Lonchura striata: one gene and its partners. The protein of the gene in region 1 purifies or fractionates together with the protein of each later gene. This does not show direct contact. Links are inferred from orthologs where the notes say so. Each region holds a gene or a part of one and is shown on either strand. Other genes may lie near its edges.

Region 1 (7,620 bases):
AAGGCCACAATACTTTATGAGCTGAAGCTGACCAGGAAGAGCGCAATTTCAAAGGGTTTATGTGAAACCACAGCCACATTTAAGAGTTATTTCTGACTGCAGCACTTTCCAAGCAGCCAAACAAACAAACATAATTTTCCTCTGCCAAACACAGTGGAAGAAGGAAGCTGGTTTTAATAGAACTCATCTGCTCTTCTCTTTCCTTCATTGCCTCCTCTGCTCCCCAACTTCCCATGATGAACACTCACCTCTGGGCTACCAACAGTCTCTGGTGAAACTAGCTTTGTATCTAGAACAATTTGAAAGCTTCCTTGTCTATATGAAATCTGTGCATAGCTCTCTACAACTGCCAAAACCTGGGACAGTTTTGAATTTCTGGAGTATAGAAAAGAGGGAAGTTTTTCAACACTTTGAAAAACACTGTTTGAAACTCCCAACTCTCTTCACAGACAGTAATCTTTTGCTTCAGGAGATGAAGCATTACTTAGCCAAAAAAAACTAAATGGCTTCTCCAAGGTCAGGTAAGGAACAACAAATCTAGAAACAGAGCTCAAATCAAAGCTTTAAACATAGTAGCTAACACAACTACATCCCCTGGCAGATATAGCTCCAGACCAAGACTGCAGGCCTGCAGCACTGTTTGCTCACAGCAAAGGGAGCCAAGGAAAGAGAGGAGACAACCAGCTGAGGCAGGGAAATGGCACCACAGAGGCAGAGCAGTCTGGGCAGTGGCCTGAGGTAACTCTGCCCATCAGCACCAGAACTGAGAATCAAAGACAAGTCAAGCCTCTGACAGCCCAATGCAAGTCTTAATCTCTTGATTTTCACAGCACCTCCCTCTGCTCCCTAAATCCCAGTGAAGAAAACTTCAGGCCAGTTCCTACTGCCCTCCCAGCAAGCCTCAGTCACATCAGGGATTCCTGAAAAGACTGGAGGAATGGACAACACAGATTGGTTTTCTATTCCTAGACCAGACAGTCATGGGATGACAGGGTCTGAGAATGCCTAACATTTCCATAATAAATTCAGAGCTGAAACCACTAGAATGCTAATAAGCTTCATGAGTGAATGCTGTGTACAAAAAAAAGCTTCAGAGAAACCTCCTCTGCAGCTACAGAACTGTTCTCAGCCCTAATCAGACAGTATCCTTCCCCTTCTCTCCCTGTACAGTGACTCAGCCAGGCATTATATTTACATTTAATTCCATACACACTTTGGGGAAACAGTTGATGTGAAAGACAGCATGCAAACTGAGATGCATTGCAAATCAATTTTAAATCAGTAAAGGTTCAAAGAGAGCATTAGCTCAAACCACTAAATCTTTTAGTAATTCTGCACCTAGGAGCAGAACAGAATAATGCCCCCAAACATGGTTTAAGAAGACCTGTGTTCAGTATTGACATCTGCCAATAATCAAACACAACCAAATTCAGAGGGAAGAAGATGCAAGCCAATACTATTAATATGGTTTAGCTTTTAGTCCCAAATCCTGGCATCATCTTTCCACACTCCTCTTGTGAAAATGTCATCACAACAGCAGCATTTAACCACATTCACAGAGGCTGAGATCTCTTGGAAGAGTTATGACCCAGTATCAAATATCACTGCCTCTTAGGCAGCAAGGTTACAAGCACCATTTTTCTGAGACTAATGCCATGAACACTTTAGAAAGGTATGTCTGGCAGGGCCAGCATACACAGTTTTTCTGTTCCCATTTCTAGACTTCTCCTTCCAAAAAATGCTCAGAAAGCCAATGACTCCCATCTCCCTAAAAAGTGCACACTTAATCCCAGAGAAAGCCTCCATAGTGGGTGAAGAACTCACTTTGTTTATGGCTAACACATCACTATCAGCCCAACACCAGGTACAGAGTCAGACACAGGTCAATCAGCTAACAGGAGTAAGCTGAGACCTGTGCAACAGAGATAAAGAGTGGCGAAAAGTGATTTTCTGGTTATTTGTTTGAAACCCTTTTATCAAGAGCAAATACCATTATGTAAACCCTTAAAGAGGGTTTTAAAACAAACTCTTAATCACCACTTACCTGGCTAGCAAATTCTCTTAGGTGAGCCATGCCTGCAGGATGGGGTTTTTGCAAAATCAGGGAGGATTAGGATGTTGCAGCACAGCAGGAAAGTGATGACTTCTCCACTGGTCAGCTGTGACAAGCAAGAATACATAGTTCTCAAGTGAGGTTCTTGGAAGCTGGCTCATTCCCCTGAAGAGTTACCAGCATCTTTTTTCTCTCCTTGAGCTGAAGTGCTACTTGTACCTGCCAACACGTTCTGAGCATGCTAGGCCCTCCTTGCACACCGCATTTCTCAATTCTTTACAGAAATGCCTTCCAGATGCGTCAAGGAGCCTCACTCCAATGTTACACACTGACCAAGTCCCAGGCTCCATTTTCCCTACCATCACCTCAGCATGCTCCTACAGCTAACCCCACAGTTCTGCCTCACCATCACTCCCAGCATCTTCTCCAGCATCATCCTCAGACAATCCTTTTCTCCTGCTCAGCAATCCCCTCACTGAGAGCGCTCCTCCGCTCCCACTGTCCCCGGCACGGCCACTGGCAAAGCTCAGCTGCTCAGCACGCACCTTCCTCTTCAGGGAGCACCAACCCTGCACCACCCCGGCCTCTCCTCAGCGGCCCTCCCCTGCACCCCAGCAACAGCTGAGCCCCGGCCCAGCCCACTCCAGGGCCCCCGACCCCAGCACCCCCCGTCCCGGCGCGGCCCCACATTATCCCCACACCCGTCACGGACACCGCGTCCCACCTCACACCTCAGAGCTCTCCCCCCTCCCGCGCTCCCCTCGCCATCATGGGCTACTCGGCGCGCCCCGCCCGGCACCCTCAGGGTCCCTCCGTGGCTCACGGCCGCCCCGCCCGGCGCCGCCGCACCTAGGGGCAGCGCAGCGCCACCGACGGGAGCGCCATGCCGGGCCCTGGCGCACGGAGCCGCCGCCGCCCCGGGCTGCCCCGCGACACCAGCCGCGGCGGGGGGAGCGCCGGGCCGGGCGCAACAACACGGCGCGGCGGCGGGGGAGGCCGCGCCGCGCGGCACGCCGGGAGATGTAGTTTCCACGCCGCGCAACCCGGCAGCGGGACTGAGTTCCTGGACTGCAATACCCAGGATGCCGCGCGCGCAGCGGCGGGGCGGAGCCGCAGGGCGGGGCGGCGGCGCGGGGGTGGCTGGGGCGGGGAGTCCTGAGGCGCGGGGGGCGGGCGCTGCCCGGCCCGGCGGCCCCGCAGTGACGGGGAGGAGGTGGCGGGGCAGTCGCTTTGTGCTGCCAGCCCAGCCTCACGGGGCTTTCCTCTCGCCAGCCCTTACGGGACTGTGCCCGGGAGCCCGCCGGGTGACGCCAGGGAGGCCCGCCCTCAGCTGTTCTCCTGCCCGTGAGGGTCAGGGGCTGTCCTCTCCCCACCCCCGGGCACGCCAGACCCCGGGGGAGGCGGCGGAGCGGGAGGAGGACAGGCGAGGGACGGAAGCTCCCTCATGGCCTCGCTCTCAGCAGCCGCAGGGTTGGGTTTTCTTTCACGTGCTGTAATGTCAGTGACTGATTCACGTTTTTCAAAGGAATAAATTTTTTTTTTTTTTTCTTAGCCGCTTGCCAGGCAGCTTTAAGGCCGGTCCCGCAGTGAACAAAGCAGGCACAGGTTTTCCGTGGCGCCGACACACAAAGCCTTTATCACAACCTGCTGCTTCTAATGGGGAGCTGGCGCTGCCCTGGAGCACAGGTGAGCTGTAGCGAGAGGAGCAGCCCTGGAGCTGTCGCTGCGTGAACAGATGGGTCTGGCAGCAGCCAGCAGCTCCCCCACAGTCCTCTTATTCCCTCCTGCATTGCCTCCCCCATCCGTCTCCCTTCTCTCTGTTTCTCTGCCCCCTATCAAATCAAACAGCACTTTGAGGTACCTGAGTGAAAACATCAAATAGATAGAGTACAGGTGTCAAAAACTCCCGCAGTGAGATTCTGGTTTTGTATTTAAATCAGCTGTACCTCACTGGGAGGTTTGCACAAAGCTCTTGCCTATAGGATCCTTGGGTTGCTGGGGCCGTGAGTTTATACCTGCAGGACCAGCCTTCTAGCCCCACAAAATCAGACCATCTTGTCTCATAAACAGCCCTCTTCCAAGCATGGCACCTTTACTATCCCAGCATGGCACCTTTACTTAGATCTATGAACAGAGAAACCAAAGCTTCATGTGAACCATGAAAGGAAGGATAGTGAAGTTCTGCTCTGGTTCCACTGTAGCAAGGACCAAGGGGTGAGCTGTTCCCTGAGTCCCTGTGTATGCTACTTAATGACTGTTTGACCTCAATGCCGCAGCTCTCCACCTCTTAGCACATGGACAGTCATTAATTCAGCCACTGTTGGCATGAGGCCAACAGAAGGGCAGAGGACTTACGTTAATTAATGTGCCAAGTCTGAACATACACACAGGAGTAGCAATTAATTGGTTTTGTCAGTTCAGGATAAGTCTTTCAAAAGGGTGATTGTCATGTGGGGTTAGCATGGCAATTCCTTCTAAAACTGCTAAAGCTGCCTCAGGAGCACAGGACACAGAGGAACTCAAATGTGGGCTGGTGTTTTTCCTCATCCGCTTCGTAGCCTGTTGCTCTATGGCTGGGACAGGAGAGGTTGTGTGTGGGATTTTGGTCTGGCCACCACTTGGAGGAAACCATTTATGGATCAGTAGCTGGTCACTTTGGACACTTTGTCTGGGACAAGCTGGGGGTACAGGGACTAGAGATGATTGCTCTGTTGTCAGGCAGCTGTTTCTGGGCCTGTTTTGTAGGGGAGAGGATTATTAATGTGCTCAGAAGAATACAGAAACAAATGCTGATTCTGGGGAAGCAGGTGTGCCTGACTTCTCCATGGTTGTCTATGGCATGTTTGTATCCATCATCACCTCCATTTTATTTCCAGAATGTATCAACTGAAACCAAAGTCTTGCTCTCTGGTTTTCAGTCAGTGCTGTATTCCTAGCGGGCTGGATCTCCCTCTTTTATTTTTTTCATTTATTTTAGCAATTGTGACTACAGAACAATCATACTACAAGTTGTGGATGTCTGTAGATATAATTTTTGCTTTAGTACCCCAAAATTACCTGTGCATTGCACCATCTACCTCCACTGAAGGAAACCCAGTCCTTGCCTCCAGGAGATCCATGTTTGCAAAAAGCCAGCTAAGCAAGTGCAGAAGAGGAGGTATTTCAGCTAGAGGAAAGCACCAGAGAGTTGGTTATGTGCTGGAGTGGCCAAGCCTACAAGACTTCAGTTGCTGAGTGTTCAGGGTTACAGCTTTCACCTGGCCCTGGGAAACAGGGCTGTGGGAAAGGGAACTTTGGGCAGGACTGTGTTTTCTCCTGCCTCTGGCTGTCAGAGTAAGCTCCTCCTGGGTCTGTTGGGGTGGTATGGAGGATTACCTTGTACCTAGAGCAGGTGGGGATGATAGGGAGTCCCCTGTTGCTGATGGAGCAGGGGGATCTCAGGGCTGAGCCAGCCTTGCTGCTCTCCCTTCCTTCTGTGCTAATTCTGATCATGCTGGTTAGTCTTTGCCTTCATGGCAAGTATGAGTAAGTTCTTACCTGTCCTTACTTTTGCTTCAACAAAAATTTATGTTTTTCATGCTTTCCGTGTTCCTACTCCTGTTCCCGTGCTTTTTAAAATTGGTCAAGAGCTTTGAGTAGGGACAAGTCAAATACCTACACATGTAAGCTCATATATTTGCTGTGTGTGCTGAATGGCTGCCTTAACCTTGATTCTGTGGGGAAATCAAGCTGAAAAACAAAGGAATCTCTTGTTTGGGGTTTCTTCTATTGTTAGGGTTTCTTACTGCTTTTTAGAAGTTAAGTCTTCTCTATTGTATGATTTTTCAAGAGGATAAGATTGTTACTTTTTTCCTTCTCCCTTTTCTAGTTCTTTCTGTTAAAGCAAAGGGATTAACCTCCTGAATGATAATAATAATAAAAAAAACTTGGTTAAAAGCTGGTGACATTAAAATGTAATATTTAAATAAGTCTTCTGCTCAACACCCAGCCCCTAAACCCTACATCAATTATGAAAGCTACTTACAAGTAAGCTGTGCTGCAGTCCCCATTCCCATGGCAAGTTTTGTGTGCCCATGGAGTCTGCTTTTTCCTGTCCACAGAACTGGAGCCTTTATCAGAGATGTGTTATAAATCTTCTCTCTGTAAAAAGGCAGCTATTTTAAAAAATTTGATGTTTTCTGCTGGCAGTGTGGAACAAACACTGCTTGAGACAACCTTTATAATTCTCATATATAAGAGAAATCCTGACCCAGGTATTTACAGCTTTGGCCCAATGAGCTGACACACCTGGCTATGTTTCTATGAAGTCCAGAGAAGGGTGTGAATAGTTACAAGAAGCTTTGTCTGACATGTTCTTAAATGTCCCACTAAAGTAACTCTGCTTTTCCCTTTTGCTATGGAGTGTGTAGTGAATCACCAGAACACCTGTAACCTTCTCTCCTGATGTCCCCTACCCTTGATCTATACTTTGGAGAACAAGGAACTTTTCAGCAAGACATCTCAGAGCTGCCTTCCTACTCGAAGGTAAAAATGCTGCAGTTGTATTACTGTATTCCCATCTGTTGCATACCTGCTTGGGTCAGACAGGGGTGAGGGGGTGGGTGGGTATGGAAATGTGTGGTAAGACACAAAATCATGGAATCCTATGGGCTGCAAAAGCCCTCTCAGACCATTGGGCCCAACTGTTCCCCCAGCACCAGCCCGTGTCACCAAGTGCTACACCTACACTCTCCCTCCAGAATGGTGAGCTCACCACTACTCTGGGCAGCTTGTGCCAGAGGCTGACCACTCTTTTGGGGAAGAAATTTTTTCTGAATATCCAATCTAAACCTCCTCTGACACAACTTGAGGCTGTTTCCGCTTGTCCTGTCCCTTGTTCCCTGGGAGCAGAGCCCGACCCCCACCTGGCTTCATGTCCTATCAGGCAGCAGAGGGAGGTTGCCCTTGAGCTCTTTGCAGGCTGAGCCCCTACCAGCTCCTTCTCATCAGACTTGTGCTCCAGACCCTTCCCCAGCTCCATTGTCCCCCCTTTGTACATGCTCCTCCCAGTGAAGGTTAGTCTGGAACCCCATGTTCTGATAAAAGCAAAGAACGCTGGTCAGTAGACAGTGTCTAGTACCACTGCAGGCTTGCTCCAGCTATTTATGGCCAAAACAAACCATGAGGGAAGGTCCTCAAGAGCTAGCACTCTACATCCTACCTGCTCTGGGTTGTGAAATCTTCATGGTTGGTTCAAGCACTGATAGATTTTTCTGTATTAATTACTCAAAATACCCGGATTTGCATTGTTCTGTCCATCTTGAGAAACGTGTTATGACACTGCTGTGGGAGAGGCTGTGCAGGTATCCTTGGGAGAGCTGGGCAGAGCAGTGTGGTATGGCCTGCTGTGAAATGTCCCTGGGGCATGGGGCAGCTGGTCTGGTGTGTGAGATGGGGACACGAGCCTGCTGCTCAGCCTGCAGCAGCTCAGGCCTTTCCACCCGTTCCCCCTTCCTCACATGGAGAGCCCTCCTAGCGCCCTCGCCGTGCTGACCGTGCTGTCAGGGAGCACTGGTGGCTCTGGGGCA
Region 2 (7,820 bases), about 2.7 Mb from region 1:
CAAAATCATCAATACCACAAATTCCAACAGAGGAGAAGTGCAGAAAAGCTGTAGAGTCTCAGAAAAGGTCATGTATGTATTTGTTGGTGCTGTCAAGTGATGTGGGAAGGGCTCCTGTGCTAGCTGAGCCTGAATCCAGCTGAAGGGCAGTACTAAACCCCTGCCCCTGACAGGGTTCTGTTGTAAGAGCTAATTAATCAGTTTCTGCAAAGCCCTTTGAAGGGGTAAAAGGAGAAGCAAGTGCACAGCAGTGTTATCCAGAGGCTGTGAGCTTCAAAGTTTAACAGGCACTACTTAAATATGAAAAGTTAGTCACCTTGTAATTTCTTTAAAATGTAAAAGAACAGGGAAAGCATCTAAAAATAATCACCCAACAGTCGTTTTCAGCAGTGTTCACAGCCTTGTGTCCTTCTGCATGATTTGGGATTCTTACTGTATTTGCTTCCAGTTCAATTGAATTAATGGCTGTATTTGACTGCTTTTTTGTGTATGGTGTTTTGTTTTTTGTTTTTAGGTCAGGAAGTACATCTTACAGTACATTTTGCTGTTTCTTAGGGTGACATCTTTTACTTCCTTTCCTGTTTACAGTGCTGATGAAAACCTTGTTTTGGCTTCAGTAGTAGATCCTCCCTGGAAGTTGTGCATAACAGATAACTTTCAATTGTTCTACAGTAATAAAATGTTTATTAAAATTACTTGCTTTCCAGGAAAGGGATTTGCACCAGATTTTTTTTCTTTGATTTTTCAGGTAATTGTTTTCTCTTTTCTGACAATGTTTACATGCTAACCATTAGTTCTTGTAGTTTGCTATAATGTTTTTAAAATGTGTCCTAATTCTGAATTGGAACTTTAAATTAAAGATAAATCATTGAATCTCCATGAGGAAAAAAACTCTTAAGTGATATGAAAGACAATTATATTTAATTGTGTTTTCTACCATAAATAGGATTTTGGGTGTGTAAGTCTGCTCATTGTGTATTAATTGAATGAACTGAAATGTAAAAAAATACTCACCCACAGATGTTTCTTTGAGAAAAGCTTTAGGAGTCTGCAGTGAATGTCTCCAGGCAGTAATGGGTGAAATGCAGTTTCAGGAACTGTCAGAGGCACTCGTGATTAAATTAAGCCACTACAGCTTGGTTCAAAGTCCATGGAAAGACTCAGGATTCTTCTTCTGCTGAACTTTAAGCAGAAGAAATTAGCATAACTGCAGTTGTCCCTACTTGTAATATTTCCTCCCTGAAGCACTTTGTCAGGAGCCAGGAACATGGGCTCTGCTCTGGAAATCACACCAGTCCATGCCCAGTTAAAACACCTCCTGGGTGTTGGTTCTGTTCCCTCCTCGTGTGTTCCTCCAGACAGCAGGCAAGAGGAGCCAGAGTATTTTTTGAGATGATCTGTGTCAGAAGGCCATGGAGGCCTGGAGTCCATCCATCCCATGGCGTGGGTGACACAGCCACAGCACAGGAGTTTTCCAGGCTCCCTGCCTGCTCCCGGCACAGCTGGAGCTCTGTACAATCGGGGCTTGTGCTGGACACCTGTGACAGCTGTGTGGCACAGCTCCAGCTGTGACACCACCAGTAAAACTTGGGGCAGTGACACCCCAAAGAGTGCGGCTGGCTGCAAGGGCCGGAGGCACACTGCGTGGGACCTGCTGTGTGGGACACCTGTGTGGGCACACTGTGTGGGGCATGTGTGGGACACGCTGTGTGGGACATGTGTGGGACATGCTGCATGGGACATGCTGTGTAGGACACAGTTTGGGACACGCTGCGTGGGACACAGTGCATGTGACACACTGTGCAGGACATGCTTTGTGGGACACAGTTTGGGACACGCTGTGTGGGACAAAAGAGGCACTTGGGGTTTGCTGCCAGCAGGACAGTGGGGACAGGAAGGGAAGCCACGAGGGGAAAGGGCTCGTGTGTGCCATGGAAAAGAGAAGACAGAGCAGGAAATGGCTACAGGGCCTTGTGGAGAGCCGAGGGCAGAGCTGCCATGGCCCTCCAGGAGGGAACAGCTGCCCTGTGTGTGAGGTAAGGGCTGAAAGGAGAAAAGAGGGCAGCAAAATGGAGCTGCTTGAAGGAGGGGTAATTTCATGGGCTGACATATTGTTTTTCTCCAGTTTTGCTGTTTTTTGGTGTGGGATGGTGATGGGAGGAGTTAGAGCTGAGCTTTAGGGTTCCCTGGGCCCCCCACCAGCAGCAGAAAACCCCAGGATCCCATTCAGCTCTATCCTTCCTAATCAAAGCACCTGCATACTTGCCTTTCTAAATACCTTTTCTTCCCCCCAGTGAAGTAACTTGGATTTTTTTAATGTTTACTCACTTCCTAACTTGCAAGAATTAATTAATTCACAATGGATCTCTCAGTAATGGCTGTGAATTAGCGAATCATTAGTGTGCAAGGAGCTCTCTCACATGCTGTATTTAATCCCTGCTTCTAAGAGCTTAGGAAAATCATGCTCCCTCTGCTCAGGGATTTCACTGCCGTGTGCAGGGATGGCAATTGTACTGAACCCATTTCTGGTGTGATCTCTTTTCCAGTGGTCATTTGTAGAGCCGTAGTGTCTATTCTCCAGGAGCTGACATTGAATCCCTTTAACAGTGCTCCCCTTTAACTCCTCGTCTCTCCTCAGTACCCTGATTATTACATTTAAACCTGAATGCTTCTAGCCTAAGTATGGGTTAACCATTTGAACTCAGATATACACACCCTTTTCCTGCTGGCTTTGAAATCAAGTATTCTCAGCTCACAAGTGGGATATATGAGCTGCTAAAATTTTGCTGACCACATGTGAGTCCAGGTCCCATCATCTTGTACAGGCACCATGACCCTTCCTGCTTCAGATCCAGTACTGCTACATCTCTTACATCTTCCTACAACACCAAGTAAATATTTGAGGTAGATATAAATTATATAAGAGGTAAATATAATAAATATTAGGAATAAATGTAATGAATATAATAAATATTAATAAATAAATATAATAAATATTAGGAGGTAGATATAAATAAATGCTATGCATGCACACACACTTGTTTATATGCCCATGTCCTGTCCCCTGGCGTGCTGACCATGGCAGGATTGGCTGGGGCAGCCTCCCGTGGCTCCAGCATGGTGCCAGGCTGGACGCGGAGCCCGTGGTGCTTGTCCAGGGAAGTATCCTGTGGAACCAGTGCTGCTGCAGCCGCCCAGTGCCACCACCCAGTGCCTGCCCCTCTGTGCTCCCCTGCTGTTGAATGCTGGTGTGGCTGCAAGTGTGCTCAGATGCATTTTTCCATGTCCACACAGCTGATGAAGACCCTCCAAGAGGTCAAGAGGCAGCTCTGCCCACTGACATCTGAGGTTCACCAGCCAGGGATCTGTGACGTGTGGAGCTCAGAGCAGCAACACGCTCTCAACACTGAGAAACCCAACCCAAACCCTCCCCAGCACTGAGACAGGGAAGTGCAGCAGAGGGATGTGAGACACGGAATCAAGAAGAAGCTGAAGATATAAGTTTTCGGCTCACTAGAAGCATATGGACATTTTGGGAAAGCAGGTGCCACATGGCTGCATGCCAGTGATGCATCAGGTCTCCTGGGGCAAGGTTTCACCTCGTGGCTTGTAAGAAATTCATTACTTGTTCCATTAAAAATATATTTTCTGCTTTAAATGTATTGTTTTGCACTAATGGACAATATCAACTTGATCTATGCTGGGAGAGGTGTGGGCTTGTCTCCATCCAGGCTGATTTGCATTTGTCACAGTTCCAGTAATAGGTGAGTATTACATACAGGACAGAAAACCAGTCTGGAGTGCTTCCATGCCATGTTGGGGACTGCAGAAAACATCCAGGCTGTAAATCACTAGCACCTGATGCATCAGGACAATCAGACCATGTCCAAAGCACGATGCTGAGTTCCAACCCCACACTGAAGCCCTGAGGGTCGTGGCATGGAAAAGAAGTTTTGTGACACTACAGAAGGTGTGAAGGGTCTGCAAAAGGGCAGGGCAGAGTGGGGTAAAAATGATGAAAAGAATGGTAAGTACAAATAACAAATGAATAAATACCGATAAATAAAATTTAAATAGTAATTACAAAGGCAGTTAACTACAAATAAAGAATAAAGGAATAAATTTCACCTCGAGTTCTGTGTGCAGGTTTTGGACCCTCACTTTAAAAAGGACATTGAGGTACTGGAGCATGTCCAGCGAAGGGCACCAAGGTTTAGAGGTTTAGAGAGGTCTAGAACACTTGTCTTACGAGGAGTGGCTGAGGGAGCTGGGGTTGTTCAGTCTCCAGGAGCTCAGGAGGGACCTCCTTGCTCTGTACAACTCCCTGGCAGGAGGCTGTAGTGAGATGAGGCCAGTCTCTTCTGCCACGTCTGCAGTGAGAGGACCAGAGGAAATGGCTTTAAGCTGGGGTGGGAGAATCAGATAAAATATTAGAAATACATTTTTCCGTGCTCAGGAGGTCAGGCATCAGAACAGGTTGCCAGGGAGCTGGTGGAGTCCCCACCCTGGAGGCGCTCAACAGGCGTCTCCGCCTGGGGCTGGGCGCTGTGGTTGAGTGGCTGAGGGGCGCAGTGGCAGCGGGCGGATGGCTGGGGCGGATGATGTGGGAGGTCTCTTCCAGCCCCGGTGATCCTGCGACGCTCACGGGACGAAAAGCGCCGTGAACAACGACGCGAGGGAGCGGCCAGACCCGAGGCGGGCGCGGCCAGACCCGAGGCGGGCCCGGCGGCCCGCGGTCCGCCGCGGCGGCAGGGGGCGCTGCGGCGCCGCGGCGCGGCCGGAAGCGCGGGCGGCAGGGCCGGGCCGGTGCGACGCCGTGAGCGCGGGGCGGGGGGGACGGGCCGGGCGAGCCGGGGCCGCGCCGCCTCTGCCGCAGCCGCAGCGCCGGAGCCGAGAGCCGCCAGCGGGCGGGCGGGGCCCGCCGGACGCACAGGTACTGGGGCGGCCGGGGCCGCGGGGGCGAGAGCCGCGGGCATTGTCCGGCGCGGGCCGGGCCGTGCCCCGCGGGCCGCGGGTAGCGCGGCCCGGCCGGTGCCCGCCGCGCTCCGGGCCCGTTTGTCCGCTCGGCGCCGGGAGAGCCCGGCCGCGTCCCGCCGGCCCGGGCGGAGGGCAGGGCCGGCGATAGCGGCCGCCGCTCCGGGGGCGCCGTGCGGCACGGCCGGGCAGCCCGAGGGGAAGGGCACGGCCGGGGCTGCGCTTCCCGTGCGGCAGCGCCCCGGTCCCCGAGCTGCTCGGGCGCCGAGCCGGGGAACCATCAGCGCGAAGCCGCGCCCGGCTCGGCCCGAGCGAGCCGCAGCGCCGGGCCGCTCCCGCGGAGGGGCCGCGCCGGCCCGGGCCGGGGGCGCTGCCGCGACCGCCGCTCTTTGTTCGGCCCTGCCGCACGGAGCGGCCGGAGGTGCGGCCGGCGCTGCCCTGCGCGGCCTCTCGGCTCCGGCCCGAGGCCTCTTCCTACAATTGTTGTTCTGAGGCAGCCCCGACGGGCCTCCGCAGCGGCGGCCGTGCGGGAGCGCTGCTCGGAGCCTGGTCGCTCGGCAGGCTGCTCCACAGCCAGCCAGCGCTGCCTGATCTCGCTGCTCCGTAAGAAAAGTTTTATCATTGTTTTTTCCCCTGCAGATCGGCGGAATGCCGCCGGTACTGGAACTAGGATGTATCCGGTTTTGCTATTTAAAAAAAAAATTATATTTTAATTTCTGGTGAGGGATCATGTAGGTGCCCAGGATTTATTTAAAACCTATATGCTGTCTTGTGGGAATGGTGTGATTTAATTTGCATGATGAGTCAAAGATTAAATTACATGACCTAGGCTCTTCAGTTTCAGTGAGGCAAATAACAATGCGTGGAAGAACAGTTTCAGTGTAGATCAGAAATTAAATTTGATTAACATCAAAATGTGGTAAAGTTTTGTCTGCACGTGGGGTTTTTTTTAAACTTACATGTCAGAAACTCTTAATTCAAGATCCTTAGCAGTGTGGTTTATCAGGAAGTGTGTCTTCCTTTTTAACACCTAGAGCTCATGTAGTCAGAGGAAATGTAACATCCTGAGCTTGCACCTTGGTATCGAAGCTTTTAAATAATAGCTTTTTACTATTTAAAACGCTGTGTAGCTTTAATTGATATCTATTACCTAATACTTCTTGGTGTGGCACATGCCTTTAACTGCAGAAGAAGAAAAGGGCCACAAAGTATTTGTGAAGTAGAATAAGCTCTTATGGGCTCAGGAGTAAGTTGATTTTTTGTTGTTTTTAGTTGTCCTGTAGAAGATGGCACCTGTCGTGATCTGTAAGTGGCGTGATGGTGCCTTGATTGGTTTCTGCCTGCCGTGGACTGGCTGTTGGAAGAATATTGTATTTCACAGTTAGCTTCATGGTTTTTGTGTGGTGTGAGAAACGACTGGGTCAGCCAGCTAGGATGCACTTGACTTAAATTTATTTGTATTTGATGGGGATCTCATTACTAGTGTAACATACCTGTTGTTGGAGCTTTCCTTGGTCAGACAGAAGCACCTTGGGACAGGAGGAAGTCACGCCTGGTGGTGTTGGGACAAGCAGGATAGTCTTAGAATGTGAGTTTGTACATATGGACTAGCATGCTGCTGAGTTTTTCTGAATGCTGATAGCATTGATTTTTTTTCTCTTAAGTTTAATGACATGCTCTTCTTTATGTTGACACAAAGTTCTGAAATTTTGATGTGTTCTGTGTGTGTTGAGTGCACAGTTGTGTAAAACAGAATTTATATTTGTAAAAATATGTATGTTTACAAATAAAAGCAGCAGTTGAGTAATACTTTGTGACAGTATGTCTTTGAGAGATAATTATACACTTTGGGTATTATCAAGCCCAGACAAATGTATATTCCCAGTGGGGTGTGATAATATTAAAACTGCACCTCTTGGAATTCCTTGATTGGCTTATTCAGGAGGGAATGGTGTCTCTTTTTCTGCATTCTGTCGTGTAGCTCTTATTAATTAATGGCTGGTGGTTGAATGAGACTTGACTGTTGCCCTGTATGTGTTGCACTTCCCAAGGTTTTTTATGGCATTTTGGTGAATATGAGAACTACTAGCCAGTGTCTTCTCTTCTGAATAATTTCTTTGTTCAGTTTTGCAGATTTGTTTACATGAATTGTTTGCAGCCTATTTTTTTGTGTAAAATACTTCTGAAAGCTGATAATCTCTGTATGTGCTTTAGAGGCTTTAGACACTTGCTAAAATAATGCTTTTTTGTGGAGTTTCAGAAATAGCTGGTGCTGCTTGGAAGCAGGGGGCAGGAAGAAGCCTGGTGGCCTTTTGAATTCCCTTCTGGCCCTGCTTTTCTGTATTTGTGACACTGTGTAATATGGTTTAATTACAAGAGCAGCTATTAAAGTATGATTATCTTAGTCTAATTGGAGGCATCTTGCAGTTACCTATCAAAAATAAGATTTGACTCATCTGCTCCTTCAAAATTAATAGTTCCATAACAGCCTGCAGCTATTTATGTAAATAATGTGCAAAGCAAAAATGTGAGTTGAATATTTTTCAAATATTATCCTTTCTGCATTGTAAAGCTGAAATTTTGTAGGTGTTATTCTCTCTCTGCCCATGTTTTCTCTCGATACCGTGCTTCAGGCACCACGAGGTGCAGAGGTGTGAGCCAAAGGGAAGTTGAATGTCTGCAGTGAGAAGGTGAAACTTTATGCTGAAATCCTCCCCACCCCCCAAGTGCAAACACAAAGGTTAAATTAGAAGATGAGGCTGTCTTGAATTATTTTAAAGGACTTGAGCTGGGCTGTTAAATGCACGATCAGGAGTACCTAAGGCTTACGCTGGTGTCATGTGAGT
Region 3 (7,646 bases), on another chromosome or scaffold:
TGCCCATCTAGAAGACTCCATTGTCTCTGAACCACCAGACTGTTCAAACTCATCTCTCACTCTCCACACATGTACCCTGATCACCCAGGAGAGGGATGGAAGTTGCTCTCTACAGCTCAAAGATATTCCTGTCCCTACAGCAGTAAATCTAGTTTCAGATCTGTTTCCCTCAACCTAAGTATTTTCTCCCACAACAGTCAAACCAAATGAAAAAAACTTCTGGGCAAAAATAAAAAGATACGAGCACCTCCCAAAAATAATCACTGAATCATAGAATGGCCCAGGCTGGAGGTGACCTCAAAACATCATCAAGTCCAGTTTTTCATGGAGAAGGGAGCCTTGTTGAGATTATGTAGTACCCTGTTCAGTGACATCTTGAAAACCTCCAGCTCCACCTGGTTCCTTGGGGAGCTTGTTCCCGTGAGTGACTGTTCTCAGCATAAAAACTGTTTTTCATATAAAGATGAAACCTCTTCTTGAGCAATTTGTACTCATTGCCACTTGTCTTCTCCATGTGGGTCCTTGAGAAGAGAGAGCCTCTTTGTGGTAACCCTTTAAGTGCTGGACTACTCTGATAAGGTCTCCCCAAAGTCTTCTCCAGGCAGAAAAGACCTAACTGGTCCTTTCTTCACTGGGTGGGTTCTCCAGCCTTTTGATCATCTTGGTAGCCCTTCTTTGGACCCTTTCCAATCTGACTGTGTCTTGAATTGCATAGATCAGGAGCAAACACAGTATTCCAGGTGTGGCCTGGCCTCTAATGGGTTCTTGGTTATATTGTCCCAGGTGCAGGACCATGCCTCTTGTCTTGTCAAATAAACCTCATACAGTTCTTGCTAGTCCACTCTTCCAGCCCTTCCAGGTGTCTTTGCAAGACTACTGTCACTTCTGACATGTCCACCTCACTACCCAGTTTAGTGTCATCAGCAAACTTGGGGAGGGAGCTTTCAACCTTGTTTTGTTTGTTTTAAGCTGTTTCACTACACAAACCTGCCTGACCACAAAACAAAAGCCACAGAGTTGGCAGGAGGGAGGCAGCAGTGACATCTGGGCTGGGATAGCTGACTGCTACTGAGTCACAGGCAAAGCCCCAGGTTTTGGTTACTGTAAGTTTATCTCATTGCTTGGAAATGCATTCTGCCAGCTGAGCACTCAAAAGCAAGGAGTGCTGTGACACTGAAGCCTTCCTTTGGCTCTGGCTGTTAGTGCCCAGCCAAAAAAAGGAAGTGGTCAATCAAGGGGAAAAGTTGTATGAATCAGTCCTGGAGCACATTTTGTGTGGGATTACGGATTGTAAACAATAATAGTGATCTGCTGTTGGTACAGTACTTTGTACAACAAGCCATGCTCTTGTCTGGAGGTTTCCTATGACCACTCTTATGCAAATAACAAGTCATGATAATACCATGTTTATCACAACACTAAGTCAACCATAATGACTATAAATGTAACCTGACCTTCACTTTGGCTAAACCCTATTTCTTTCATGGTTATCTCATATCTCAGTATACATTTATTTCCCTATTTTGTCTATCTGTTGCCTGTTCTTTTATTTTCCATACACTGCCTCACACAAGAGGCTCTGAACTTTAACCATGGAGCTTTCTATGTCTACTGAAATTCAAGTAAAAACCAGATAGCTTCCCATCAGTCTAAGTTTTGGGGGTTTGTTTTTTTTTTTTTTTTCTGACTGCTCCATTCTACCAATTCTTATCAAATCCAGGACACATACAGAGAAAAAGAAAAGACAGACCCCAAATGAAAACTGTTCGTGAAAAAAGTCCAAATCAGGTGACTAAGACCCTCTTTGATCACAGTTGCTTAGTTTAGTGTGTCAATTCTCAGTTATATGCAGTAGTAAATACAACAAGCACATTCTGTGAGAAGAAACACAAATTTTGGCCTGTAACACAAGGCAAAGGAGTCAGACTGGCAAGAGGAGTTTTATGAACATGGGCTTGTTCTCTTGTGCCTCTGTTTTGGGCAGCATTACAGCGTACAGACACTGACAGCTGGATGTGTCACCCTCCACTGAGGCAGGAGGACGATAGAAGAAATTCGAAACGCACATAAAATACTGTTTTGCTACATTAAGTATCAACCAGAAATGTCAGTATCACATGTTAATTAATGATTAATGCTGGGGGAAGGAGATGCATACCTGACATATTTTTAAACTGGTATAACGAGTTTTCACCGAGCAGAGGAGGGAAGTTCTCTATAATACACAGTAATGGGCTGTGTACTTGGAACTGTGCTCCATAAATTTCCCCACCTTCAGGACAGAATGTGTCAACACACAGCTGGTCTCCTAGAATAAACTCAGTGCCAGGACTAGTAATCAGTAATGCTGAAGAATGAGGAAAGAGGGAAAAAAACATACAAATGGTTATCAAAAGGACAAAAAACCTCTTTTGGACTCACCTGTTGACAGGGCACATTTTTAATGTGAGACTACACCTGATATTACAAGGTGATAAGAGTAAATCAAGAAATAAAGAAAATAACACTGTGGAGCTGATAAAGCCCTGTAACTGTAAAATCTTCCTCAGAATGATGTCCTACTTAGTAAGGAGAAATTTAACTCAGGCAGGTTGAATTAGCATATAATACATTGCAAAAATAATACATTGACGTTATCTAACATTCTACCTTGATGAATCTCAAAGCACTCTCCCTTTGTGTATTGATGTTCCCATACTGGAAATCTGTAAAGTACAAGCTTGCCTTTAAGTATATTTTTGAATTAAATGTTCCCAGAACAGAGATGCTCTCCTTAGCTGGGGTGTCCATGCTATATGCAATAGACACCACTCCCACTTTGCTCCTTGATGAAATAAGGAGCTTTCCTCTCCTGTGCTGTTGTGTAAGAGTTGTTACGCAGGACAGGCATATGATCCCACACCAAGCTGTTGTCAGAGCCAAGAATAAAAGAGAAAGATGGGATTCATTTAGCCTAACATCAGCAAGCTCTAAGCTGGGCCCCCAGACAAGAGAGACACACAAGATTCAAGTCAGGTTTCACCACTACAACCACTAGAGACAGATTTTCTTACAATGTGGTTTGTCCAGCCTCTCTTCCACTGGTGGAAAGTCTCTCTCTCTTGGCTGCAGAATGACCAAAAAGCTTGGATTAGGCACCAGCTTCAACATAACCAAAAATTACATAACTAGATTCTTAATCATTTGCTTTCCTCCTGGACACTGCTCCTGTAGCTTTGAAGAACACTTGAAAAAAAAATTACACACTGGGAATGGGCTTACCTTGTCAACCCTCACTGACCCACATTGTATATCTCCCCCTTCCCTGTTCTGTAATGCCATTTATTTGGGTAGGCCCACATCTTTTTAAAACATTTCTGTCTTCCACACTTTGAGTACTTCTTGCGTTAGGAATATTTCAGCCACCACAGCGTGGGTGAAAAATAATGATTTCTGAAAGCAGCTTGAAATTTTTACAGTGCAATAGAATTCAAACTGCTAATTTGCTGGCTGCTGTGGCCTTGCACATTGAAGAAGGGAGTGGACACAATCACCTGATAAATACCTGTGACTGTGACTATACATTAGTAATAAATAAGAGTACAAATAGGCAATATTTGTTATTGAGCTCTTTAGTATATGGGTGGCACAGATTAACAAGGCATGTAAACCTTTTCCCCACTGAGGAGGCAGACTCAGGCAGTCGTGACAGTGATTTTTCTCATTTACCCTCACCATTTCCCAGCAGCTTAGTGGAGGGACAAGCCCCTCAGACACCAAACCCAACATAGTTTATGCCTCACAGAATCATAGAACCATAGAATGGGATGGGTTGGAAGGAAACCTTGAAGATCACCCAGTTCCAACTCCCTGCGACAGGCAGGGACATCTTCAACTAGACCAGGTTGCTCAGAGCCCCACCCCGCCTGGCCTTGAACACTTCCAGGGATGGGGGAGCCACAACTTCCCTGGGCATGATCGGGGCAGGTTTTACCTCGGGGTTCTCTGAGGCAGCCAAAGGTGTCACTGTCCCCTCTCCCACTGGGACCACCACGCACGCAGCTCTCTGTGTCTCATGACACAGTCTCATGGGTGCCTGTGGAGACCCATGTCCCCCACGCATTGGAGGGACACAGAATCACAGAGTCGGCCGGGTCGGGAGCAAGCTCAGCGGTGAAGCACAGGATTTTGTCCAGACTGTTCTGGAATATCTCCGGGGAGGGAGACTCCGCAGCCTCTCAGACAATCTGCTCCAGTGCTCGGTCACTGCTCAGGACAGAAATTCTCCCTCATGGTCAGGTGGAATTTCCTGGGCATCAGTTTCTGCCCTTTCCCTCTTGTCCTACTGGGTGGCACTACCGAGCAGAGCCTCTGACACCCTCCTTTTAGATACTGATAGACATTGATGAGCTCCTATCTCGGTCACCTCTTCCCGAGGCTGATCAGGCCCATCTCCCTACTTCCTCACAAGTGAGATTCTCCAGACCCCTGACGAACTTCGTAGCTCCAACACACCGAGCTCCGCTCCTCGCGGCGCCCCGGCCGCCTTTCGGAAGGGCAGGCTCCCGCCCTCACGCCCTGCCCCGAGCGCCGGGACAAAGGCGGCGGTCCCGCCCGGGCGAGGCGGAGCCGGGCCGGGCCGAGCCACCGCCCGGCCGCTTTATCCGCCCGCCGTGGGTGGCGGCCGGCGCAGTGCGCATGAGTTCTGCTCGGCGGAGCTGCTCCGGCCACCTGCCCGTCCTCCGCCGGGAGCGGCGCGGACCCCGCAGCCGGTGAGTGCCGCCCCTCCTCGGGGGGCTCCCGGCTGAGGGGGGCTCCGCTCCCCGCGGCTCGTCCCCGCCGGGGCTCGGGTCGCTGGCGTGAGGGGCGAGCTCGCCCCGCGCCGCCTGCCCCCGGCTCGGTGTCACTGCGGGGAGAGGCCGCGGGGCTGCGCGCCCCTGCCAGCCCGCCACGGGAGCGGTCCGGTGTTGCTCTTATTACCCACTAATGGATTTTTAATTATTCTTCCCTCCTGTTCCAAGAGCAGCGGCGGCCGGGACGCCGGGCGCTCCGTGCGCTGGGTGGCGGCGGGACCGGGGACAGGGCGCAGGGGCCGGCCCAGCCCCGCGGAGCGGCTGCGGGCCCGCGTTCGTTCTGGTACGCGGGCGGGGAGCAGAAAAACTATCAGCGAACTGCTGCCCTGCCGCGTGTGCGGCTTGGCTTCCCACTGTTGAGCTGTTAAATTTTTTTACCCCCGTGGATTTCTTGTTCTTTCCTAGCATAACCTAAAATTTTCTTCTGCTTATCGGTGACTTTAAGAAACTATATTTAAGCAAACGTTTCATACCTGTAAAACTTTGATGTATGCTGTTCCTGCCTGGCTAAGGGTGATGAGGAGCAGCTGCCTTATGCCTCCACTTTGCTTTCCTTGTCTGCAACTTAGGATTTCCAGTGGAAAAGCTGTTGGTGTAAAGACTGGCAGGTTTTAGTTCAGGATACCTTTTTCCCCTTCCCCCTCCAGGTGCCTTTTCCATCTGGAGGTGATAAGCATGAGATAGCTGGTGCTTCTTAAGATCTTAGGTGGTTTGGGTGAGGTTTAGTGCCCGTAAAGAGAAAGCACAGCCTTAAAAACGCTCTTGGGATTTTCAGTAATCCAGGATCTCAAGGGCATGTTTCCTGAGTAGTTTTTGTTTTAGTGTGGCAGCGAGAGGAGGTTGCTGGAAGTGGAGCTCTCTTGTGCTTGGTTCTGTGCATGGGTGTAGCAAGAGATGATTCCTGTGGTAACAAGCATGCAGATGGAATAGGAAAGAGATAAAACAGCCTCTTCCGAATTTTTCTAAACATTTTCCAAGGATTTTAAGCTGCAGCAAGTATCAGAAATGTAACAGTTATTTCCTTTCCCCTCTCTTTATGAAAGACTTCTTTCTAAACCCTAAAGTGTAAGTTTTAGCTTTAAAAGCTTTTGCAATTTCTGGCTTATGCTTATAAAAAGGTATTATTTTAAGACTTCGATACAGATCCTTGACTAATGCAGCATTGTAGATGGCCTTGCTTGTACAGGCACTACTTTAAAGAATTATGATTGTGGCTTTTCTCCTTCCTTTACAGGAATTACTGTTGTATAAGAGGGGAGCTGATGTTTAAACAATGAAAGGGGGGAAAATGTTGCTTGCTTGGGTCTCTATGAAAGGAAGATACTATTTATTTCTCAGAAATGGAATACATTTTCCCAGCAGTGTCTTTCTTATCAAGGATTTGTTTGGGGGTTTTACTATACGGAGTGAATGAGTAGACTTAATTTTTATGACTAGAAATACGAGTAATGCCTGGCATTAGAAAGGAACAGAGAGATTTATATATTGCATCTGTTTTGTCAGTAGTAAAACTCCTCTCATCTTGTTAGTTATAGCTGCTTTTTCTCTGCATGCCTCTGAGAGAAATATTAACTAAGAATGTTGGCAGATGGATTGCTGGTTGGATATAGTAACTGGAACAACTTAACTCCTGAGCAGTTGACAAGTCTCAGGCTGACTGACCTTCTGAAATACTGGAGCATGAAAATAAATGAGCATATGAATGTGGCTTTCAAAGCCAGCCAGACAGGCTGCTACTGTTACCAAATCCTCTCTCCTCCTTTTTTTTTTTTTTTTAATTAAAAAATAAAAGCAAGTGATTTTAATTTCCAGTATAACTAACTGCTTAAATATATTCTTTTCAGTTGGGTGTGTATGGATGATCCCTGTATCAAGTAAAGTCCAGGGCCAAGACTCTACTGCTCTTTTTTGCTAGTGCTGTTTTCAGCTTTGTTTACCTTGGGCAGACAGACCTTTATGTACTTACATAGGAATGAAATGTCCAAAATTAGTTCATTTTTAAAGTAAACACCCATGCTTTGTGCTTCAGACGTCCTCTGCTTTCTTCCCCACACCAGCACAGCAGTCACAAAAAGAAACATAGAAGAGCAGCCTAAAATCAGTTGTGAGACTGTGACACAGCTGTACTGGGGCTGAAAATTGTCTTGCTATCCTAAATACTGTGTAAAACAGGATTTGGCTCACCATTGCTGTGACTGTAGCAGCAGTTACATAATGAAACCCTAAACCCCAGTAATGCTGCACCTGTAACAAGACAGAAGTTGACTAATTACAGAGGCGTCTGTGCCTAAAATTGTTTATGTACACTTCATGGTTCTAAAGTGTTGGCTGTCACAGATAGCACCACCCTAATGTTAACAGGAGAGATTTAAAAAGAGTAACTTGAAAAGAATGGGACGCTTTCCTTGTTGAAATTTGCATGAAGCAAATTGAAGTCAGAGGAGAGCTCAGCCATCACCTGGATGTGTTTAAAGTCCCATGTGGGACTGGAGAGGCAGCTCTGGGTATCACATGCAGTTCTCCCACTGAGCAGGTGCTGGTTATCAAATCTCAACTGGAGAGTCCCAGTGAAAGCCTTATCTTTGCCCTTAGGTAAGACCTTAATCTACAGAAAAGTAACTACTTGTCACTGGCTGTGGTTTTATTTTTAGTTGGGGCAGGAAGTGATTCTGTCACTCTCAATGAGTGGGAAATGTGAGCACTTCAGAGATCTGTGGTGGTTCCATCCACAATGTTGTGTAGGAGCCTTTGCCATTGGCCTTCATTTCAGGCAGCAAGATTCAGCTGATGCTGCTGCTGATGTAGTGAGCTGGG
Region 4 (7,476 bases), on another chromosome or scaffold:
AGCAGTCATTTGAAAATAACGAAGAATCAGCTTTCCAAATGAGAAATCTCCCTCTTGTGTCATAAAAAACACTTTTCTGTATTACTTTTGGAGAAATGATGGCTGTTAAATCTTACATAATGTAAGACAAGCCTTCCTGAAGTGCTGAGAAAGCCAATTCAGATGGTGCTAGAGTGCCAAGGAATGGAAGGGAAACACTTAGCAATTGAAATTACAAATTGCCTGATTGGAAAAAGGGTTTTCCCAAATCCCTTGAACTGGAGCTGCTTCCTGGCTGCTGGCACGCTCTCACTGCAGCCCTTCACAGAGAACGGGAAGGAAGGAGCCACAGCGTGGCTCGGAGGGCTGAGGGTCCCGGGGCAGCCCGCTGCCTTTTCCCGGGGGGAGCAGGGCTGGAGCAGCTGCGGAGCCGTGCTGAGGCTGCGGGGACCTTGTGCTGCCCCTCCGTCCGTCCTGCTGGCAAGAGCCAGAAAGCAGCAGGGACCAGGAGCCGGGACTCCCATGGCCCTGAGCAGCCATCACCAGTGCAAGGACTTCTTGCTGCTGAGGAGGGGCTCACACTCAGTTGGGCACCACTGTGTTCCCAAGGGAGGCCATTTACTCAAGGGATAATGCTGAAAGGATTCTACCTTTTTTTTTTTTTTTTTAACACTAATTTTAGAAGACTGAGGGTTTTTTTGCTTATATACCATACATTTTTGTGAAATGCTTTATTCACATTTCCCTTTGGTATAATGGGATTTTTCTCAGTAACAACAAAATAAAACAGGAATTTAGAGTACCTTTCCACCATTCACTAGTTTAAAAGCAAACAATATCCAAACACTTAAAATCAAGGGTGCATTTTGAAAAGCAAGGCAAGGCAGTAACTTCTACTTTAAAAAGCCCTACAAGTTTTATGAAGCTATTTTACATGGCTCCAGAGTTTCAGGAGGGAAGGGAAAAACACTCAGTCAAAACCCAGAATATATTTTTATAGCCGCAAATTTTCTAAAATGAGACTATAGATCTTGTGTTAATATGGGGAGCCTTCAGAAATACACACCCACATGCCAGCACAAACAACACACAGCTCTAGAGATGGATGTCATACAATATTTAAAAAGAAAAAATACATAATTCCCAGGGAGGCAGGGCTGGCTCTTTTCCCAGATGGATTCTCATTCCGACAACATCAAGAACATGACAGATGTGCTTCTTCCTAATTGTTTGTGTTTGTGGTTTATCTCTCTTGCCTGTGATACTTAGGAGAAATCTCTCCTACCACTTCTTTCCCTGCTGGGGGTTTTTGGTGGTTGATCCTCGCCGGCAGGACAGGAGCCTGCCCAGTGCTGCGGAGGGGCCCCTCCCGGTTCCCCCCCAGCTTCCCAAAGAGCCGAGAGCTCCTGCTCCCATCCCACAGCACCCACAGCCCCCAGAGAGGCTCGCCCCGGGAGCCCCTGCCTCTTCCTGGGACTCGTGGCACAGGTCCCACAACAGAGCCAGGGAGCCAGAACCTCCTGCACAGGCCTGTGCCCGTCCTCATCTGTGAGCAGCTGCTGCAGCCACCCGGCCCTGTCCTCTCCTTGGCCCGTCTCTGCTGCTTCCTTCCACCAGAAACCCACCCAGCACAGACTCTCAGGGTACCTGATTTTTCTGCCTCTATCTGACACACCTGGCAATCACAGAATCACAGAATGGCCTGGCTTGCAAAGGACCTCAAAGCTCATCTCTTTCCACCTCCTGCCACGGGCAGGGACGCTTTCCACTATCCTAAGTTGCTCCAGGCCCCGTCCAACCTGACCTTGAACACTTCCAGTGATGGGGCAGCCACAATTTCTCTGGGCAGTCTGTGCCTGTACCTCTACTGCATGTTAAAAAGTGCAAAGTGTAAAGTGACCAAACAGCCTGGAGAGAAATGTCTTCCAGACCTCAAAAGCCTCCTCCTGTCCTGTGCAGATGATTTATTGCCCCCTCAATGCAGACCAGTGGGCAACTGAATATATTCTTTATCTTTAATTTTTTTTCTGTATAGACTCAGCCATTAAACCTTTTTTTCCTCTCAATTGCACTAATTTTAAAGGCTGCAGTTGTTTATTTGCCACCCCTGAGACCACCTAGGAGCTTTAGGACTCTGAATCCCTTCAGATGTTTGCAAGTGTCCTCACCAAGCCCCAGAACAGAGAAGCTTTTGGTGCCAGATGTTCCCTGATGTAATTCATGCATCCGTGACCTTTCCAGGCTCAATTCATCTCTAGTCAATCAGCCTCACGCAAAGCTCTTTCTGCACAAAGGTCTCCTTTCTCCTGCGTTCCCAGGAGTGGGACTGGGCAGCACCAGGAATGTTTGCAGCAGGAATGGCCAGCAAGCAGATGATCCCGCCGACGGTCCGTGCCAGCCTGGAAATACAAGGAAACACAGGCGCTCCCTTGCTGTTTTGAGATGTGAATGTTTTAGGTGTGCTCTGTGGAATTTGGAAAAGCAGCTCCAGCGCAGCCGCTCCCGAGCAGCGGAGCTGTGTCTGAGCAGGAGCTGTGGACGCGCGGGGGCGCGGCAGCCCCGCCAACGGCACCGGAGGTTTGCGGGCACCGGAGGTTTGCGGGCACCGGAGGTTTGTGGGCACCGGAGGTTTGCGGGCACCGGAGGTTTGCGGGCACCGGAGCGCGGGGATGCGCCCGGGCCGCACCGCTGGGCACACCTGAGCCGCACCGCTGGGCACACCCGGGCTGCACAGATGGGCACACCTGAGCCGCACCGCTGGGCACACCCGGGCTGCACAGATGGGCACGCCCGGGCTGCACAGATGGGCACACCCGGGCCGCACCGCTGGGCACACCTGAGCCGCACCGCTGGGCACACCCGGGCTGCACAGATGGGCACGCCCGGGCTGCACAGATTGGCACACCTGAGCCGCACCGCTGGGCACGCCCGGGCTGCACAGATGAGCACGCCCGGGCCGCACCGCTGGGCACGCCCGGGCTGCACAGATGGGCACACCCGGGCCGCACAGATGGGCACACCTGAGCCGCACCGCTGGGCACGCCCGGGCCGCACCGCCTCCCTGGGCAGCCCATTCCAGTGGGTAATCAATCCCCCTTTCAGTGAAGGATTCCTTCCTAACGTTCCAACTGAACCTCCTCCGGTGCAGCTCGGGGCGCTCCCGGTGGCGGGGAAGGCCACTGAACCGTTCTCGGCCCTGCAGAACCAGCGATGCCGAGCACACCTCGTGGCACGCTCAGGGGCGGAACGGCTGGCCGTGCTCTCCGCAGAAAGAAAAGGCTCGCTCCCGTTCCCGCTGTCTGCGGCTTAGCGGAGCGCTGGGTCAGCGGCTGGGGCAGCAAAAATCCCGCTGCCCTCGGCAGTGCGGCCCGGCGAGCCCCGGCTGCGGCCCCCGCGGGCAGCATTCCCCCAGCGCCCATCCCAGCGCACCCGGGGCCCTTCCATCGGCCTCGGCAGGTAAAGAAATCGAAACGCTGACTTCTGCACAGCACCTCCGCCCAGGAGCATTGCTCGGCCCTTGCGAAAGCTCCCCAGAGGGAAGTTGTGCCCGGCAGTGAGGGCGGTGCCCACGCCGAGGACCTGCCCGGTGAGTCACTGCCCAGGTAAGGCACTGCCCAGGTGAGTCACTGCCCAGGTGGGTCATTGTCCGGTGAGTCACAGCCCAGGTGAGGCACTGCCCAGCTGAGGAACTGCCCAGCTGAGGCACTGCCCAGGTGAGGCACTGCCCAGGTGAGGCACTGCCCAGGTGAGGCACTGCCCAGCTGAGGCACTGCCCAGGTGAGGCACTGCCCAGGTGAGGCACTGCCCAGGTAAGGCACTGCCCAGCTGAGGCACTGCCCAGCTGAGGCACTGCCCAGGTAAGGCACTGCCCAGGTGAGGCACTGCCCAGGTGAGGCACTGCCCAGCTGAGGCACTGCCCAGGTGAGCCCTGCTACAAAGCAGCACTGTTAGAAGGCTGCTGCACAAAGGAAACAGAGATATTATGGACGTCCTTGGGCCAACCATCAGTGTCCAGAGTGATGCCAAGTTCAGGCGCCATGAAGGCAGCAGGACCCGGAGTGTCGGGGGAGACGGACTGTCCCGCAGTGACGCGGGGCCGGGGCTCAGAGTCGCTGTGAGGGCACTGCCCTGCCACGGGCAGCGAGAGGGGTCTGAGGGCACTGCCCGTGTTCCCCTGTCCCGGGTTGGCACGGCCCTTCCCGCCGCTGGGACCCGGACCGGACCGGGAGCCGCCCGGGATACAACCGCGGGCCGGGGGCGGCGGCCCGGGCGGTGCCTCGGCCCCGCCCCGCCGGAAGTGACGCACCAATCACGGCCGCCCGCTCGCTCCGCCGCGAACAAAAGGGATTTTCAGCCGCGGCCCCGCCCTCCGCGCCGCCTCATTGGCTGTGCCCTCCCACGCCCCGCCTTCCCCGCGGCGGATTGGCCCGCGGCCGCAGCGGCGGCGGCGCTGATTGGCGGGCGGGCCGTCGGTCAGCGGGCGGGGCGGGGCGGCCGATGGGGAGCGGAGCGGCGGCGGCGGCGGCGGCGGCGCGGGGCCGGGCAGGTCGGTGCCGAGCCGAGCCGAGCCGAGCCGAGCCGAGCCGAGCCGTGTCCGCTCCCGGCTCGCCCCGGCCCGGCGCAGCGCTGCCCCCGGTGGGCAGGGGCAGGTGCGGGGCGGCGCGGCCCGCGGGGCTGAGAGGGGCGGGGGCGGCTGCGGTCGGGGCTAGGGCGGCCGCGGGCGGCGGGGAAGGGGAGGTATCGGGGGAACGGGAGATCGGGGGGCGGTGCCGGGGGCGCGGGGGCCGGGGGGCGTTACCGGGATGTGGGCGTCCCCGCCCGGTCCAGCCGGGCCCGGCGGACCGAAAGGCGATGGAGCCGGTGTTCCCCGCGCCCGCCTTCCTTCCCCGCGGCCGCGGGCTCCGGTGCGGCGTGTCTCTTTGTTCGCCGCGGTGGTACCGGGCCGGTGCAGCGCGGGAGCCGCCGAGCCCGGCCCCTGCCGCCCGTTCGCTCCCGGGCCGGTGCCACTGTCCCGGGCCGTGCCGCTGTCCCGGGCCGTGCCGCTGTCCCGGGCCGTGCCACTGTCCCGGACCGTGCCACTGTCCCGGGCCGGTGCCGCTGTCCCGGACCGTGCCACTGTCCCGGGCCGGTGCCGCTGTCCCGGGCCGTGCCGCTGTCCCGGGCCGGTGCCGCTCCCGGGCCGGTGCCGCTGTCCCGGGCCGTGCCGCACGGCCCGGGCCGGTCCGCTCCCGGGCCGTACCACTGTCCCGGGCCGGTGCCGCTGTCCCGGGCCGGTGCCTCTGTCCCGGGCCGGTGCCGCTCCCGGGCCGTGCCGCTGTCCCGGGCCGTGCCGCACGGCCCGGGCCGTACCACTGTCCCGGGCCGGTGCCGCTGTCCCGGGCCGGTGCCGCTATCCCGGGCCGGTGCCTCTCCCGGGCCGTGCCGCTGTCCCGGGCCGTGCCGCTGTCCCGGGCCGGTGCCGCTATCCCGGGCCGGTCCGCTCCCGGGCCGGTGCCGCTCCCGGGCCGTGCCGCTCCCGGGCCGTGCCGCTGTCCCGGGCTGACCCGCGGTGCTCGCCCGTCCCGGGCCGGGGTCGGGGCCGGCAGGAGGGGCGAGGCTCCCGGGGCTGAAGGTCAGCAGCCAGCGATGGTTTCTGTTCTCTCTCAAGGAGCTCCGGTTGCTGCACAGGGGCTTCAAGGAGCCACACAAAATCCATGTCAAAATTGTGCTAATTTTCTTCCCTCTGAGTATTACTTCAAAAACTAATGTGGTGAGGGTGTTTCTTTGAGGGTAATGCCGTTTTTCCTTTAGGGCTGAGATACAAAGGTGGAGGAAATATAAACGCTTCTCATTTTAACCGAGACCACCACAGTAGTGATGCAATGCCAGGTAGCATTGTGGATGCACAATTATTAAGTCTGTTCGCATTTTTTCATTGCATAGACATATGTAATTATTGAAACTACTCAAACGCCACCCGATACACGCAGAAGCAATTTTGGGAACTTGTCTATCAGGACTTCTCAGACTGGTCATTTAGGTTCTCCCATTAATGTCATTACACGACTGCCCGTGCTGTCTTCTGGAAAATATCAGTTCCTCTTCAGGAACACAGGAAGGAAAATTAAGCTGATTCAGAATTATGGGCATTGTGGCATTGTTGCGTTGGTGTAAGTTTAGGAAATGCCCTCTTTCAAAGGAAGTAGGAGCAACAAGCTTTGTTCTTCATGATGTTTTTTTTTAAAAGTAGAAGAGTTTTGAGCTGGGGGCTCGCAGAGGATCCTGAAGCTGCCCTCCCCATGCCTCAGGCTGTGCGTTCAGCTCCCCTTGTGTTCCTGCCAGTGACTCCAGCCCTTGCTGAGGTCGGTGGGTGAGGTTCTCCTGTGCTGGCAACCTTTTCCCGGTGGGTTCGTGCCCCTGTGTGTGTGAGAGCAGTGAAATGTAGCTTGGCATGGTTTCATGATCCTCCCGCCGTGATTGAGGGTGCAGAGGAGCTGCCAGGGCTGCCAGCTTATCTGTGTGTTCCTCAAGTGGCACATGCCAGAGATAACTCCCCCGTCTCTTGGCTCGCGTGCTTGTACGGACACTTAAACTGCTCTCGATGGTTATTTTCAGTGAAATACTGGGAAATAACTTTCTTAGAAAGGTTTTATCTCCTTGTGGGTGGGTATGGGTCTGTCAAGGAGGCTCCAGTGGTTCACAGCTGAAAGGAAGCTCACCTTCAGGCAAGCAGAAAGTGATTATTTTAGTTTATGCTCTAAACTCTGGCTTATTGTCCAAAAATGGCCGTGTATCTTAGATTCGGGGCAAATATTTATATAATCAGACTAAACAACAAGGTCTTTGTGGTTTGTGATCTGTGTGAGTGCACTCAGAATATTTCCCTGGATGTAAAGGGGTAACCTTCCCTGGGAGTTGCTGGATCTTGTTTCTGATGCTGGGAAGCTCTCTGTGTCTTGGTTAAAGGTTTGGAAATAGAGTCAGGTTCCCCAGCTGAGGTGCCCAGATCACTCTGGTAGAATGAGAATGTTTCCAAGGGGGGAATTGGGTAATTTAATAGAGTTGGTGTGATTTTTTGATTAGAAGTTGGATGAGGGAAGGCACAAGGATGTGTAGCTTGAAAGCAGCTTTGGAAAAGTCAGCTCAGGATCCTGGAAGGATGGGAATGGATTTGGGTTTAGATTTGGATAGGGGAAAAGGAGCTCAAATACATGCTTATTAGCTCTCTGATCCAGAGATGCTTCTTGTTTCTGTAAATTAGTAGCATCAAATGAATAGGGCTTTTTTGTCCCCTGAATTTTCAGCTCCCCAGAGTGGCCCTTAAAGGGAATGTTGGGATTGTGACCCATTCAGCATAACAGACATCTGCCTGGGGTGCTGTAAAAGCTCCCTGCAGATCACTGGAGGATTCAGGTACATTTTGGTGGGTGTTTTTAGAGCAGTGACTTCATTTTTATATCTGCTCCCAGTCTGTTCCCTCAGCAGTGTGAAGTAACCGATGCAAACAAAGCAGGTAGA

Evidence for each region.
Region 2: the proteins of STK25 (region 1) and CAB39 purify together in Homo sapiens (co-immunoprecipitation; 3 studies listed by BioGRID and IntAct, counting the BioPlex papers as one, with this or other methods). This does not show direct contact. The link is inferred for Lonchura striata from reciprocal best matches to the Homo sapiens genes STK25 and CAB39.
Region 3: the proteins of STK25 (region 1) and PROSER2 purify together in Homo sapiens (affinity purification with mass spectrometry; 3 studies listed by BioGRID and IntAct, counting the BioPlex papers as one, with this or other methods). This does not show direct contact. The link is inferred for Lonchura striata from reciprocal best matches to the Homo sapiens genes STK25 and PROSER2.
Region 4: the proteins of STK25 (region 1) and CTTNBP2NL purify together in Homo sapiens (affinity purification with mass spectrometry; 6 studies listed by BioGRID and IntAct, counting the BioPlex papers as one, with this or other methods). This does not show direct contact. The link is inferred for Lonchura striata from reciprocal best matches to the Homo sapiens genes STK25 and CTTNBP2NL.

The regions. Positions count from the first base shown.
Region 1 is NC_134612.1:4,926,747-4,934,366, forward strand, and holds the start of STK25 (serine/threonine-protein kinase 25), read right to left. Parts: upstream 3,013-7,620; 5' UTR 2,903-3,012; intron 2,897-2,902; exon of another isoform or gene 2,785-2,896; intron 2,160-2,784; 5' UTR 2,075-2,159; coding exon 2,045-2,074; intron 1-2,044. UniProt on the Homo sapiens protein: Oxidant stress-activated serine/threonine kinase that may play a role in the response to environmental stress.
Region 2 is NC_134612.1:2,237,470-2,245,289, forward strand, and holds the start of CAB39 (calcium-binding protein 39), read left to right. Parts: upstream 1-4,816; 5' UTR 4,817-4,933; intron 4,934-6,544; exon of another isoform or gene 6,545-6,562; intron 6,563-7,820. UniProt on the Homo sapiens protein: Component of a complex that binds and activates STK11/LKB1. In the complex, required to stabilize the interaction between CAB39/MO25 (CAB39/MO25alpha or CAB39L/MO25beta) and STK11/LKB1.
Region 3 is NC_134607.1:67,129,822-67,137,467, reverse strand, and holds the start of PROSER2 (proline and serine-rich protein 2), read left to right. Parts: upstream 1-4,643; 5' UTR 4,644-4,751; intron 4,752-7,646.
Region 4 is NC_134632.1:5,718,730-5,726,205, forward strand, and holds the start of CTTNBP2NL (CTTNBP2 N-terminal-like protein), read left to right. Parts: upstream 1-4,469; 5' UTR 4,470-4,525; exon of another isoform or gene 4,526-4,628; intron 4,629-7,476. UniProt on the Homo sapiens protein: Regulates lamellipodial actin dynamics in a CTTN-dependent manner. Associates with core striatin-interacting phosphatase and kinase (STRIPAK) complex to form CTTNBP2NL-STRIPAK complexes.